2 linked regions of the Notamacropus eugenii genome follow. Each later gene encodes a partner of the first gene's protein in a complex. Links are inferred from orthologs where the notes say so. Each region holds a gene or a part of one and is shown in the gene's direction. Other genes may lie near its edges.

Region 1 (7,177 bases):
CAAAACTATGGAGGAGGAAAGAATTTATGACCAAACAAGAGATAGGGAACATGATGAAATGCAAAATGGGTAATTTTGATTACATTAATTTAAAAAAGATTTTGCATAAGTAAAACCAACACAACCAAGATTAGAAGGAAAGCAGAAATATGGGAAATAATTTTTACAGCAAGTTTCTGATGAAGGCCACATTTCTCGTGTGTGTGTGTGTGTGTGTGTGTGTGTGTGTGTGTGTGGAGAGAGAGAGAGAGAGAGAGAGAGAGAGAGAGAGAGAGAGAGAGAGAGAGAGAGAGAACTGAGTCAAATTTCTAAGAATACAAATCATTCCCCAACTGATAAATGGTCAAATGATATGAATAGACAGTTTTCAGATGAAGAAATGAGAGCTATTTATAGTTGTGGAAAAATGCTCTAAATAGCCATTGCTTAGAGAAATGCAAATTAAAATAACTTTGAGGTACTGCTTCATACCTATTGTGGGAAAATTGGGGCATTAATGAATTGTTGGTGGAGTTGTGAACTGTTCCAACTCTTCTGGAAAGCAATTTGGAAGTATATTCAAAGGGTAATTGAACTATGATACTCTGATCCAGCAATGCCACTATATGAACTGATTCTGAGTGAATTGAGCAGAACCAGGAGAACGTTAAACACAGTTACAGCAACATTTACAATGATCAACTATGATAGACTTAGCTCTTCTCAGCAATGCATTGATCCAAGACAACTTCAAAAAATTCATGATGGAAAATGCTATCTACATCCAGTGAAGGAACCATGGAGTCTGAAAGCAAATGGAAGCATACTGTTTTCACTTTGTGCATATGTGTCTTTTACCTTTTGTTCTGTTTCTTTCACAACATGACTAATGTGGAAATATGTTTACATGACTGCACATGTATAACCTGTAACAGATTGCTGTCTTGGGAAGGAGGGTAGGAGGGAGAAAAAATTTGAAACTCAAAATCTTATTAAAAATGAATGCTGAAAACTATTTTTACATGTAATTGGAAAAAATAAAATATTGTTTTACCAAAAACAGTCACAAAAAAGAAAATTAAAAAAAAGGTGACTCCTTAAGCAATGTGAACATCCCTTATGACTTGAATACTTCTGAGACTGGTGATGTAACTTAGGTAGGTATGAATTCCAGTGATTTAACAATTGGTCTTGGCTTCCATTGGTCCTGAATTCATAGACATAGAACTGGAAAGGACTTTGGTGGTCATCCAAGTCCATTCCCCTCATATTCTGCAGCCCATTTTGCGTGCCTGTTTCTCTGAATCTTACCACTGGTGGTCCACCCAAAGTGAGTCTCTCCTGCCCCCCTCAGCCCCCAAGTCATTTCATTAATAAATATGGAGCAAGAGGGATGTTTGCCCCTTGCCTGTGAACTCCCCATCTTATGCCCTAGACATATATCTCTCTCATGCCATCCTTTAGACCTTGTCTTCAAAATGTGGTCATGTATTGCAATATGCTCATGCCCCCAAGCACCTCATCATTGTCCCCATTAGGTGATCCTTAACTTAAGTTCTTGGGAGTCTTGAAGCCGGCAATATTACTGGAAGAGTATTGGAGTTAGTAAGCCGGGCCTTTGTTTTAGGGAGAAGCTGGAAGGGGGAGGGTAGTCATGCAAAGAATTTTGCAATTTCCCACAGGCACGCCTCTTGCTTCATTCTAAGCCCGATCACTGTCCCCGGGTCCCTTACCCAAATCATGTATGAATGCATTTGTGGGTGTGACCTATCTCCAACAAAACCCGGAAGCAGGTCCCCCCCCCAAAAAAATCAAGCCTGCTTCTTGGCTGAGGAGATGTTCACCCCATTATGTCAAGGATGAAGGCAGGAAACTTCCTGACTTTTTATTAGTTTATAATCCCAAATGTAACTTTTCAAAGGTTTTCCTTGTGCATGCGTGGGTGGAAAATTGCTTCCTAATCACATATCGTGGAGGGCCTCGGAACATCTGTATATTGTTTTAAAAACAACATCCTGTTGCTTTTTAGAGTGGAGGGGGTTGAGAGGGAGGGGGCTCCTGCTCCTTAGGAGGAGGGGGACAAACGAAGACACAAGGGCCTTCAGAAAGATGCTATTTCGAAAAGTCCGTCCTATTCACGATCACAAAATGGCAAATGACACTCAGCTCAGTTACAGTGGCTAATTATCCCGGCCTCCCCAGTCCGCTCCCTCTCTCCCCACCGCAGCCCCCATGCCAGCCCTGGTTAGGAGGCGAAGGGAGACCTTGATACCATCTCCCCGGCGGGAGAAAGTCAGGAACGAAACTCATTACAGATAAGACCCATTCCCATTTCCCCCGGAACGCGTCTCCCAGATAGCTTTTTATTTAAACGCCAGGGCTAAAGAGGCAGCGGCAGCTCCGCTCCGCGGGTATCAAACGGGAAATCAGCCGTGCCTCGGGCGCTGCTTTCTTGGCAGCCGGGCTGGAGGCGCGCAGCCATCTCCCCGCGGCCTCTGAAGGGGGATCGGAGCGGGGGGTGGGGGTGGAGAGCGATCGAGAGAGCCGGACAGGGAGGGGAAGGGGGGGTCTCTCAGGCTGCGCCCTCTGCGAGCTGTGCACACCCTGGGCAGGGGTGGCCGGGGGGCGCATTCGGTGTGCGCGTGTGTGCGTGAGTGTGTGTGTGTGCGCGCGTGTGTGCGTGTGCGCGCGTGAGCGTGCGGGGGGGCACTTGAGGAGTAAGGATCGCTGTCCCCCTCCCCAGTCCTGCCTCCCACCTTTCCATCTCGGCGCAGAGGAAGAAGCCCAGGCAGCCCGAGACTCGCGGGGCCGCCGGGGTTTTGTTTCCTTTTCTTTGCCAAATGTAGATGCTTGTGCGCGAGCAGGTAGTGAGTGTGCGAGGCGGGCAGAAGAGCTCCCGCACTGTGTGCGTGCGTGTGTGCGTGCGCGATTTCTGGGGCGAGGGCAGCCGAGCAGAGCAGGTTCGTCCTTTCCTTGGGATCCGGCCCTGGCCTCTCCCCCCTTCGGCCTGCGCCCCCCGCCCCCCAGACGGGTCCCGAAGCCAGCGCCGGGTGCCCCGCTCTCACATGTGTGCATGGGTGTGTGTCTCCCCGGCGGGCGCGCGTAGAGAGGCAGAGCGCGGGGAGGAGGAAGGGGAGGAGGAGGGGGGGGGGTGCGCGCGGCGCGCACGAGAGATCCCCAACGGGAGCGGGGCGGGGGGAGCTGCTCTCCCCAGGCTGCCCGAGTGCGCGGCTGCTTTAAGACCGCAGGGTGCGCGCGCCCAGCCCGCCGCCCCCTCTGCCTGCGCGCCCCCGCCTCGCCTCCCCTTCCCTTCCCTTCCCTCCCCTCTCGCTCGCTCTCCCTCGCTCTCCCGCTTTAAAGTCTCTGCCAGGATCCCAGCTCACATGTTACTTCCTGTATGGAAGAATGGACAGCTTCCAGCCCAGCTCTGCTCATTCCTCTCCAGCCTTCAGCGAAGCCACAACTTTCTGGAGCATGGACTGAACGAGCCCCCCTCGCCCGCTCCGCGCCCTGAGCTCCCCGGGCTGCTGCCCTTGGCCGTTCGCTCGGCCCTTTCTCTTCTCCTTGGCCGCCGCCGCAGGTCCTCCTTGGACTCCCGCTCCTCCTCCCCGGCTCTCCACCCTCCCCTTCCCCTTTAGCCAACATGCCTTCCTTCCCGTGGCCCTGGAAGGAGCTGCCTGCCTGAAGCAGACGCGGAATCGCAGCCTCGCCAGCCTCGCCAGCCGCCTCGGGCCGCCGCCGGTGCCCCAAGTTCGGAGGAGGCCAGTCTGTGCCCGCTCCCTCGCTCCCTCTCGCTCTCGGCTCTCTCTCCAGCCCGGGCTCTGCCGCTCTAGGCCTGGGGCAGCGAGCGGAGCGAGAGCTACCGGAGCTGCGGCTCACACTGCTGGCTGGCCGGCCGGCCGGCCGGCGGGCTGCTGGAGCCCGCTCCCTAGGGCTAGCCCTCGGACCTCGCCGCCTCCCGGCCTCCCCCAGCCCCCGGGGCATTCCCTCTCTCCTGCCCCCGACTCTGCCCCCACCCCTCATCCCGGCTCCCGGCGCCTTCCTCTGCCTTGTTACTTTTCATTTGGGGTGATTGGTTGTTTCCTGGGGGGTGGGGGGGAAGGACTTTGGGTGGGGGCGACAGGGGGAGTGGAAGAAAGAAGAAGAAAAGTGAAAAGGAGGGGAAAAAGGCAAAGGGAAGAGAAGAAACTTATTTAACAAGTTCATCGCAGCTGCCTCCTCCCTTTCGATGTGCGTTTTTGGACATGCGGAGGCTTTTGGAACCGTGTTGGTGGATCTTTTTCTTGAAAATCACCAGCTCCGTGCTCCATTATGTCGTTTGTTTCCCGGGTGAGTAGCAGCCACCTGGGGGTGGGTGGGAGGGCTAAGGTTCTGGGAGACCTCGGGCTGCCGGTGCCTGGCCGGGTGCCGCAGGCTGAGGAGGGGATCGGGGTGCCGGGGTGCCGGTGCCCGACCGGGCTGGCAGAGACTAGAGAAAGGGGGCCGGGCTCGCTGACCACTACCTCCCTCCCTTCTTCCCGCCGCCGGGCTGCTACCGCCGCCGTCGCCGCCACCTGGGCAGGCTGGCTTCTTGGGAAAGCTGGGGTTCGAAGGGCCGGGGAGGGGGCTGGGGCCCTCTGGTCTCCCCCCGCAGCTCCCGGTTGGCTTGCGCCAGGGAGCGAGCCCCCGTCTCGGCTCTGTCTTTCAGGAGACCCGGCCACTGCAAGAGCTCCGGGACTTGAGGAGCAGGCAGAAGCTGGCTTGGGCACCTTGGTTGGGGGCCGAGGTGGGGGCGCAGACCCGGCGGGGAGAGTCGCGGGCAGCTTGGGGGAACGGGAGGCGTCTGGATCCTGGAGGCTTAGAGTCGGGAAATGGAGATGGTCTGGATGGGGGGCCCTCGGAGTAGCTGGGCTTAAGAAGGAAGCGAAGGTCGCTGTGGAAGCAGGGGCGGGGGCTTGAGGTTCTGCTGCCCCCGGCCCCCCCCCCTCCACCCGGGCACTAGCCTGGGGCCACTTGTCTCCCAAGTTCTCCTTCCCTTTTAACCGCGCGCCTCCCTTGGGCAGCTGGCTGGGAGACTGCTGGGGTGGGGCGGAGGTTCATCTTCTTAATTCGGGCTTGGGGGTGGGGAGAGAAGGGGGAGAGGTCCCGGTGGTACACCCCCGAGGGTGGGAGTGTGGGGCTGGGGTCGCCGCTATTGCCTCCTAACTGAACCTCGGGAGTCACTGCCCTTTCCGCCGTCGCTGCTGGGCGAGCCCAGCCATGAACTTGAAACGATCCCAGTGGCGGCTCTCCAGAACCCAGAGACGCTGGCCCCCCAACTGGGGCTTCCCAGGCTCGACTGTTCTCGCTTCCCCTTCCCCCCCCAAGCCATCTGTACCATCCCCCGCCCGAGGGTGGGGGTAGTCGGGTTTACCCCCTCCCCACCAAGAGGGCCCCAGCCGCACCCCACGGAGGGGTGGAGGTGGTAGAGAGAGAACTGGAGTCTCTGCTTTGTGCAATCTCCCCCGGGGCCAGGAGGGCAGTTTGCCTCTGGCCGCTTGCTCTTTGGGGTTCACAGGCTTAAGTCTGTCTGCACCGCCCCCCCTCCCCATTCTCCAAGATTTGCAAGCCACTCATTGGCTCCTTATGCTAGCTTGGGGTGGAGGGTGGAGGGGTGTGTGTGTGAGTGTGTGTGTGTGTGTGTGTGTGTGTGTGTGTGTGTGATGTGAAGAGGGAGAGGAAAGAGGGGGACTGTCATAGTGAGGGGTTATCGGAGCCCGGGTGCCTCCCCTCCTCCCCCGGCTCTCCCCGTCGGTGCCCGGTCTCCCTCAGCCCGACTCTGCTCCCCCTCCCGCGGCCGAGGCGCCGGCTTTTGGCGCAGTGCTCCTCTAAGCAGAATCCCGAGCGAACCCCCGAGAGAGGGAGAGAAAGAGAGCGAGCACCGATCCAGCGTCTGCCCCAGGCTCCAGGACTGGGCGCCCCGTCTGCTCCACAGCCACCCAGCCCCTCCTTGAGCAGACCCTACTGTCTTCCCTTACCCCCTTCCAATCGTCCCCATCATCCCCCGCTCCAGTGGGCACTACTGGGGAAGGAGGCATTGTGTAAGAGGGAGAAGGGATGGGGGGCAGCTTTTAGTTCTGGGTACAGAAAGCCTCTTATGCATCCCCATTTTCTGAATGGCCAGAGGATTTGCTTTGTACCCCCTCATTAGTGCCCTGCCCACCTCCAGCAGGGTTCCTGTAGCCGATTCGGGGTCTCAGCCCTAGGTCTAGGCAGATAGATGATGGTCCAGTTTCCCTAACCATAGGCCCTTAGTCACCCCCCCCCCAGCAGACACACACACACATACACACACACACACACACACATACACACACACACACACACACACACACACACACACACACACACACACTTTGATCTGGTGGTGAATTTCCTCCTGAAAGCTCCCTCTTCTCATTTCCAGGTACCTCTAACCATATTTCCTCCCCCCTCCCTATCCATCCCATTCTCTTAAGGGGTGAATTGTACCCGTAGTTTTTCCCGCTTCTTGATGGTGGAAGGTCACGTTTCCTAGGGGTTGTGGGGCATTGGAAAACATAGGGAGGGGTAAGAGAAAGGCTGAGAAATATTGCCAAATGTAGGAAAATGGAAACAAAACATCTGGCTCTCTCTGTACCTCTGGGATGCATTAGACAGGAAACAAGCCTGCTCTGTCTTCAATTTTCCCTGTGTCAGAAAAGTCAGAATCCAGAAAGGGAACACTGTTGATACCAGTTCAACGGGGCTGTCTTTTCCCCTTCTTTGCCCAGATTTCTCTTCTCCGTCCCTGGATACAATTGCTGGCCAGGTGACTGCCAGGCACCCCTGGTCCCTCTCCCTGGCCTGGATGGAATCAGCCTGCCGGGGCGATGGGGGTGGGGTGGGGAGAGAAGCCGATTTGGAAAGGAAAGCCCTGGAGGGAAGCTATGGGAGCTGGAAGCCTGGGAAAGTTAAAAATGTCAGAATCTTAGAGAATTCTGGTAGTCCATTTTCTAAAGGTGTAATAATGACAATGGGCCAGTAGGGGCTCTGCTGAGCTTTTTTCATCCTTTAGGGCTGGAGTCTCTTAAAAAAAGAACACCCGAAAATCTCACCCCTGAAGCTACCCTGGAATTTTGCCCTCTGACAATGAATGGGTCCTGGGTATCCCTAGCGTCCCATGGTTGATTTCAGGGTGCTGGTCAGGCTGAGCACAGAA
Region 2 (8,175 bases), about 18 Mb from region 1:
CCATACAATTGTGATTTTATCCCCCTTACCTACCCCCCACTGCCCCCTTCCCTCCCCACGACTGCATACAATTCTGTATAGATTCTACATATACTTTCCTATTGAGTATATTTTCACTATAGTCATGCTATGTAGTCAGACTAAGATAAATGAAAGAAATCGTATAACAAATCAGAACATGATACACAAACACATACACATATACAAACATGATCTGCTACAATATGTGAGTGACTTCCATATTTCTCTCTCTGAGTGTGGCAGGCATTTTGCCTTGAGATCCTCCATTGGGATTTTTTTTTTTTTTTTGGTAAGAAGTTCTTGTGTTATTACAAAAATCTAAGTCTACCAGAAAAAACTCTCACACACTGTGGTCGTTGCTGTGCATAAAGTTCTCCTGGTTCTGCTCCTTTCACTCAGCATCAGGTCATATAAGTCCTTCCAGGCCTCTCTGAAGTCTTCTTGTTCATCATTTCTTACGGCACAATAGTACTCCATTACATTCATATACCATAATTTATTCAGCCATTCCCCAATTGATGGACATCCCCTTGACTTCCAGTTTTTGGCAACTACATAGAGTGCTGCTATAAATATTTTTGTACATGTGGGACCCTTTCCCATTTTTATGATCTCTTGGGGATATAGTCCTAGTAGCGATATTGCTGGGTCAAAGGGTATGCACATTTTTGTAGCCCTTTGGGCATAGTTCCAAATTGCTCTCCAGAATGGTTGGATGCGCTCACAGCTCCACCAACAATGAATTAGTGTTCCAACTTTCCCACATCCTCTCCAGCATTTATCATTTTCTTGTTCTGTCATGTTTGCCAATCTTATAGGTGTGATGTGGTACCTCAGAGTTGTTTTGATTTGCATCTCTCTAACCAATAGTGATTTAGAGCATTTTTTCATATGATTATAGATAGCCTTAACCTCTTCCTCTGAAAATTGCCTGTTCATATCCTTTGACCATTTATCAATTGGGGAATGACTTGTATGATTATACATTTGGATCAGTTCTCTATATATTCTAGAAATGAGGCCTTTATCCCCAAGCTTAGCTGTAAAAATTCTTTCCCAATTTACTACATCCCTCTGGATTTTGGTTGCATTGGGTTTGGTTGTGCAAAAACTTCTCAGTTTAATGTAATCAAAGTTATCCATTTTGTAGTCTACCTTGTTTTAATGAATAAAAAGCAAATAGAGTCACGATTAATTGTGTGTGCTTTTAATTATGGATGTGCAAGAGTTTATCAGATTTTACTTCAGGATGAAGAGAAATAATGGCTTTTAGTCTTGCCTACTCCTCACTTTTGAACTCAAGTGGGAAAAGTGGACTTCTATCATTTACGTTAAAGAAAAGCATTGAGTGGAGTGTGGTATGGTACACATTATTTTGTTATTTAATAGAGGCTGATTAGATCATCCCTTTTGATTGATAGTAAGAGGGCAAAGAATGCAGGTAGAAACTTTCAGAGTAATTGATTAGTATTTCTGAGTGTGAGTCCTATTGTAGTGTAATCCTATGATTTTCTATGTTTAGTCTTAAATGAATGAATGAAAACAATTTGTCAGTTATCTAAAATGTGTTACTCATTGTTCTAGGTTCTAGGGATACACATCAAAATCATTTGCTCCTTTCCCTGAAAGAGCTTGCATGGGAAATGACTCATGGGTTACAGGAAATAACCCATGTCAAGGATTGTGACCACTATAAAGAGTTTTGATCTGGAGATTCAGGAATAGCATATGGGGTCTTATGACAGTTTATTGCACACCCTTTCCAAAGACATCAATAATACCAATTTGACTGCTCTTTCTGTAGTAAGAATCTGAAAATGGGGTACCCCTGTGATAACAAGGTACATATACATTGGTAGATGGATGTGAAATATGGTCTAAGGCCATTTGGATGTAGCAAATAAGTGATTTTGGCTTAATTTACTTACAAATAGGACAACCAATACCCCACCCCCACTCTCACCCTCTCTATCCCCTCTTTCCTTCTTTCAGGTCTTAATACAAATGCAACCTTACTCCCTTCTCTGGTACCTTTCTCACCCCCTTCTCATATGTTAATAGGGTGTGACACTACTGGATGTCTTAGTTGTCATCAATTCCAAATTCAACCCCTTCCCATTTTATAGATGGAATAATTGATTTGGCCAGGATTGCAATTCTAATAAATGGTATGGCTAGGACATGAATTTGGATTTCCTGATGTCAAATCCAGTATAATGTATGTTCTGAAAGTCTTTTATTCTATTCCCAGAAATACTTATCATAAAAATGTCTACATAGTTAATAATTTACCAAAACGTTTCCAGTGTAATAGACATAGTATTTGAATAGTGTGTTTCCATCTGTGAGTGCAGATGGCCAACTTACATGTGCTCAGAGTACCATTTTTTGTACTGTAAAATAAATCCAAATATAAACCAAGAACTTCCAAAAAATATTCAATAATCCATGTGATGTCTCCAGGATCTTTTTTACCCTTTACCATTAGAATAATAGTAAAAAGTACCTTGAAAACAGTAGATTCCTAAGAATATTTGAAATAACCTGCAACTCTTACTATGATTTTTCTTCATTCTTTCTGTATCTTTGTGTCTTGTCCTCTGTTCTTTTCTCCTCCCCAATGCCAATTTCTTGAGTTTAAATTAAAATCAAATAATTAAATACAAGGTTCTCTATGTGTATTTATGATAATGACATGCCACAGAAGGTTTCAGATGCCTTCCACTATAGAATGTCCCTCATACCTGCTTATTCACATAGATTATAGATACAGTATATTCCCATCAGTATGTACCACAATATAAACTGTTGACGTCAGATACTGATGGCAGGTTGGGAAGCTACCTATTTACATGGCACGTCTTCTGTGTTTTTGACTTTTTATTCTCTCCCACATTTATATTCGAACCAAACTGATGATGGTATTAATAGCTAACATTCACATAATGCCTTGTTTTGCAAGAAGCTCAGAGGGACAATATTAAATGATAAGAAGAAGGCATGAGGGAACTGCACTCAAAATGGAGTTGAGCAGCAGGTTTGGGGGATTTCTTTGAGAATCCTTCTGCACAAATGTCAGTCATGGTCATATGTCTGTTCTGATCATGATACATAAAAGATAACATAGATGTTTTGCAAAGAAATGCTATCCAAACTTGAATAAACAGATTGTATCTCTGCTTTTAAATTGTTTGGATTACAATTCAGTTGGTTGAATTTGGTGACTTTACGTTATCTCATGACATTTGGATGAAGAGGATGAAAAGTCACTGAATATTTCAAATTTGTAAAATGGGAATAATAAAATTACCTACCTCCCAGTGTTGATGTGAAGATCAAATGAGATGATACCTGTAAAGTGCTTCCCGTAGTACCTGGCACAGAGCTGGTGCTTAATGAATTTTTGTTAAAAAATATTCTATCTCCAAGTCCTGTACTCTTGTTCCACACTATGCTACCTAGATGCCTCTGGATAACTTGGAATCTCAGGAATATATGCAAGGGCTTATCAATAAAAAATTAACAAGGCCCATACTTATGTGCCAGCTGATTATGGTGGTCACAGTGAACTCAAGTAAATGACAGAAACTAAAAGAGAAAGTGAAGAGGAAAGGAAAATTGAAATGAACAGAAAGAGAATTAAAATTTCACTGACCTCTGAGAAACTTTTCACAGAGGGCTTCAAAATCCTAACAACCAACTAAAGATTACTGGACTAAACGAATTCTTGGGAACCTCTGATCTACTTGTAAGGCATGCATCTTTAATTAGGTCAGGCCATCAGAGTCAGGTGAAAAATGATGGAAACTAAATTGTAGTTTTGAGAAACCCACAGATTCTTGGAAAGGGGAAATGGGGACTTTGTAAGGATTTGTACATGGACATGTAAAACTCTAATAATAACCTGGCAAGGATTTAGGAAAGCTCAACAAATTTCCTGTGCTTGAGCATCAACAAGTTTTATACTTAACTGGGATTTTGGAGCCCTCTCTCAAGCAAGTGATCACTTGGAAAGTTTTGTGCCTCTGTGATGAACCTATATACATATGTGTGTGCATATATGTGCATATATTTATATACATATTTGTGTGTGTACGTGTATTTGTGTATTTATTTAGTATAAGAGAATGTGGGGCCTTTATTAGTGATGGTCAAGTGGGATAAATTAAGAGAGTAATTAAGCAAACAACTTGGGCTTTATAAAGTTTTAAGGTACATCTTGGTGTGTGTGTGTATGCACATACGTTTGTGTGTCTATATGCATGTCATGTGGAAGCTTTCATTGAGCAAGGAGTTGGATGGGGACTGCGGAATGTGCTTATTATAAACTATTTTTCTTATTTAAATTTAACATATAGTTATAACTACACAAAGGAAACCTAGAATCATCATGGATTCTTTTCTGAAGATAAGAGTTTAACACACTTCTATGCCAATAAAATGATAAATATTATCAGGAAAAAATTTTGGAAACCAAGCACTAAATATTACTCTGTTTTCGCGTAAAGTAATATATCACCTTTTTATTTGCGAATCTGTGTACAATTCTGGTTAGTACATATTGAGGGGAATTTTGGCAATAACAATTAGGTTGTGAGGTCCTTGAGAACAAAAATGATTCTTTGTTATGTTTATGTCTTTGAGGGTAACTAACGGATGACTTATTTGTGGTGGGAATTCAATAAATATTTATGTAATGAATAGGAGAACAAATCTTGTAACAGGGAGATAAGTGCGTTGCTGATAGGTGTGTTGTGAGGCTCAGATGATTAATAAAGTGTAAGGCACTTTCCAACTTAAAAGAGATGTCTAAATGCCAGTTTATTATTATAATTATTATCATTATCATCAATATTTTGTTGCTGTTGTTGCTGTTAGCCTGTAGCTTCCGAACCTTCAGCTAATTTCATTCTCTGAACTTTCTACTAAACTTTTGCAAACTCAAGCAATGTTAATAGAACAATATCCATTGTGATGGTTAATGTTTAACTGATTAAAAAATGAAACCAAGACACTTTTAAGTTTAATCTGTACTAGTAATATATTCTTCTGTGTAGATGATCGATGGGACAATAAATAAAGCTTTAGTTTGTAATAATTAGTGGTTGCTGAGGTATGAAACCTGACTCATGATTGCAGGGTCAAATGAGAGCTAGCTCCCACACAGTGATCCCATGTAGGCTCCCTTTCTTTGACCTTAGTTAAGGAAGAGGAGTCAACAACAAAGAGACCAGAGTTTTAGTCTTCCAGGCCAATCAAATCTGGAAGTGATTTGTCTTTCAGGGAAAGAAAGAACCTAACCCATATCAGAAAGACCCTGGGAAATATTCTTCCTGCTATACTATATAAGAGAAGTAAGGTCTCTTCTGAAACATAAGAATGAGGCTAAGAAGTTAATGTTCAACCTAATGGTATGATGAGAGACCACCAGAATGTATTCACTAAATTCTAAAATACTGAAATGAATATCCTTCTCCAAGGCTGAATGAAGAAATACAAGGAACTACTAATCTCAGTGGACAGAAAAGGGGAAAAATATTTGCTAAAACAATTGGTATAGACTTAAAAGAGAAATGGATTCTAAGTAGTAGTTGATCAATTTTTTTTTTCAGATATAATAGAGTCTCAGAGGGTTATATAAAGAGAAGGAAGGATACCTGGGATTAATATCAGGAATAAAATTTTTCAAGAGTCCTCCATGATACATTCTTTAACGTCATTGTCAGAACACTGTTTCTTGAAATGTGATAGAATCTAACAGGAATTAAATACATCCCATAACGAAGGTGTGATGACACTTATGCTTTCAGTTTGGTTAATTTATGGATTTAATTAAATGTAGACTTTCATCTTGGGAAAATATATTAATCTATTATACTACACAAATGTGTGTTACTTATATAGATACTAGACTGAACCATCTTTTAGTTGCAATGAAAAGTAAAAGGTTATTTTTTTCCCACCTGAGATACTACATTGGTTTTATTTCTTTTTCATTTTTACAGACAATGGTGTTCTTCAGGGACCTAATTTCACCCAAGAGCCACAGGACGTGATATATTCTTTGAATATCAAGAATTCTGAAGTTGTCTTGAATTGTGCAGCCAATGGCTATCCAGTACCAGATTACAGGTGAAGTTCACGTCTTCTTTGTGATGGTCAGTGACAGCTTTTTTGCTTAAATTTGATCATCCCAGAGGAACCTAATATAAAGCTTTATACCTTCTTATTCATGCTAGGCAAATAAGATAAAGGTCTTATTTCATTTTTTTATCTTGGGAATCATGAAGGAAAGATTCAATAATTTTTTTTAATATTTATTTGTAAGGTAGAAATATAACTGTGCCGGAAAAAGTTAACTAATATTTGAATAGCTCACACTATGCCCATGAGTGTTGATGTGGTATACATAGGTCCCAAAACTCTAATATTATTACATTAATTTAAAAAGTATTTTAGGAGAGTCACTTGGCATCCATCATCCTGCCAATGACGAATTCTGCGGAATGGTTCTCTCAGAGTAGCCAGAAGCCCTCACACTTTGGCCAAGGTGATTCTGAGGTTTCTGCCACAGGGGGCATCTTCTTTTTGGCGTCTCCCTGATACTTAGGGGGTCAGAGGGCCCTTCTAAGAGTTCGAGTCCCAGAGCTATCCGCAGCTACTGTCAGAGGGTCCTCCTCAGTCAAATCCAGATCTATGGGCTGGGAGGTTTCCCTTGAGGTCAGCAGTAGTACCTGTGGGCTATTGGAGAGCCCAGGTCCAGAACCCCATGGCCAGGGGGCCACACAGCCTACACACAGCCTTCACAGTCAAGCAATTCACCACTCTGGAGAGCCCCTTTAAACGCCATCACTACTTGGGCTCTGCTTACAGGTGCAAACTGGCAGCAAGATCCAACTGACAGAAATTCAGAATAGCCCTCATGGAACTGAAGCGGCAGCTATAGGATTTGAGCACCCTCCCCCCAGCTTTCTCCTCTACAGTCCTCTACAGCCCTCCCTTTTCCCCTCCCCACCCCACTTCTGCAATCTGCACCATTGCCTCTGCCAGGCGTGCAGGAGGTGTATCCCAGTTCGCCTGTCTGCTAAATAGTTGCCATACCAGGCCTCCTTCCTGAGGGCACTGTGACAACGGAGGTCAGCCCCTCTTTGAGGATGACAGTGGTTCTGAGGAAGAAGGAGAGATAAGTGACTGGACAGGATAGGACGCCTCCAAGAAATGTTATGATGAAAGAGTCCTCTTTCCTCTGGCTTCTGCCACTTTGCAGTTCAACCCAATATGAACTTATATGTATACATTTGCAAATTTTTGTCGAACTATATTATGTATAGATCAATCTATTTATGGAAATATTAAAGAATAAATCAAAGTATTTTAGGAATGAGACTATTTTTATTCTTAACTCTGTCTCAACATCAATTCATAAATTGAATTATTTCACTTTGAAAGCATAAATCTTTTTATAAATTGATAAGAATTAATGGTAGATTTATAGAAGAACAATTTTACCTTTTGAAGATAATATGTCTGAATTGGCATTTGTCTAGATGTTTGAGTAGCCATAGGTAACACCAACTGAATTGTCGGTTTGCTCAATGATTTTTGTTCATGAATTTATTTGAGACTTACTACAATGCATAAAGACTCAGCCTATACACACTATAATTATGAAGCCAAGTGAGTAAAGGTAAAGGTAGGAGAGAGACCAAACATACCCCCACCTTTTGTCCCATATTGACAAACTATTACTTCAAACTGTGTTAAGAATTACTAGAACCTCACATTTGGAGATATTTATCTTAATTTCCTCACAAGAGAGATACTAAAATATGAATGTGATCATTATTTGAAGAAAAATTTGTAAATTATTTTTTTTTCTATAAAGAAATGTTTGGATTGAAAAAAGTCAGGATTTTTGATGATGAGCTGGGATGTCATTACTTTTTAAATCCCTGTGCATCTAGGATCAAAGGCAAAATGCTTCTGTCTTCATTTCCAAATCAAACTAACCTCTGCGACACCATCATTAATATTACCCTAAGAAATACTAATATCTCAACATGGGGAAAGTGACCCCCAAACTATGTAGTGAAACCTAAAATGATAAACTCTAAACAGTGTTTCAGCAACAACAATAAAAACAACACACAGGCA

What was found. The genes of interacting proteins can lie anywhere in the genome.
Region 2: the proteins of PTPRG (region 1) and contactin-6-like are in contact, whole or in part, in a crystal structure (PDB 5E5U), measured with the Mus musculus proteins. The link is inferred for Notamacropus eugenii from reciprocal best matches to the Homo sapiens genes PTPRG and CNTN6. Residues at the interface, in NP_033007.2 of Mus musculus: Val225, His226, His227, Lys229, Phe288, Thr290, Gln292, Gln293, Asp294, His295, Val296, Lys297, Ser298, Val299, Glu300, Tyr301; in NP_059079.2 of Mus musculus: Arg129, Val132, Arg135, Gln138, Gly139, Val140, Val141, Leu142, Leu143, Cys144, Gly145, Met222, Gly223, Tyr225, Glu226, Pro227, Lys228, Glu230, Leu252, Asn306.

Annotation. Positions count from the first base shown.
Region 1 is NC_092874.1:463,240,039-463,247,215, reverse strand, and holds the start of PTPRG (receptor-type tyrosine-protein phosphatase gamma), read left to right. Parts: upstream 1-3,923; 5' UTR 3,924-4,223; coding exon 4,224-4,308; intron 4,309-7,177.
Region 2 is NC_092874.1:445,591,393-445,599,567, reverse strand, and holds the start of contactin-6-like, read left to right. Parts: upstream 1-5,078; coding exon 5,079-5,112; intron 5,113-6,026; coding exon 6,027-6,153; intron 6,154-8,175. UniProt on the Homo sapiens protein: Contactins mediate cell surface interactions during nervous system development. Participates in oligodendrocytes generation by acting as a ligand of NOTCH1.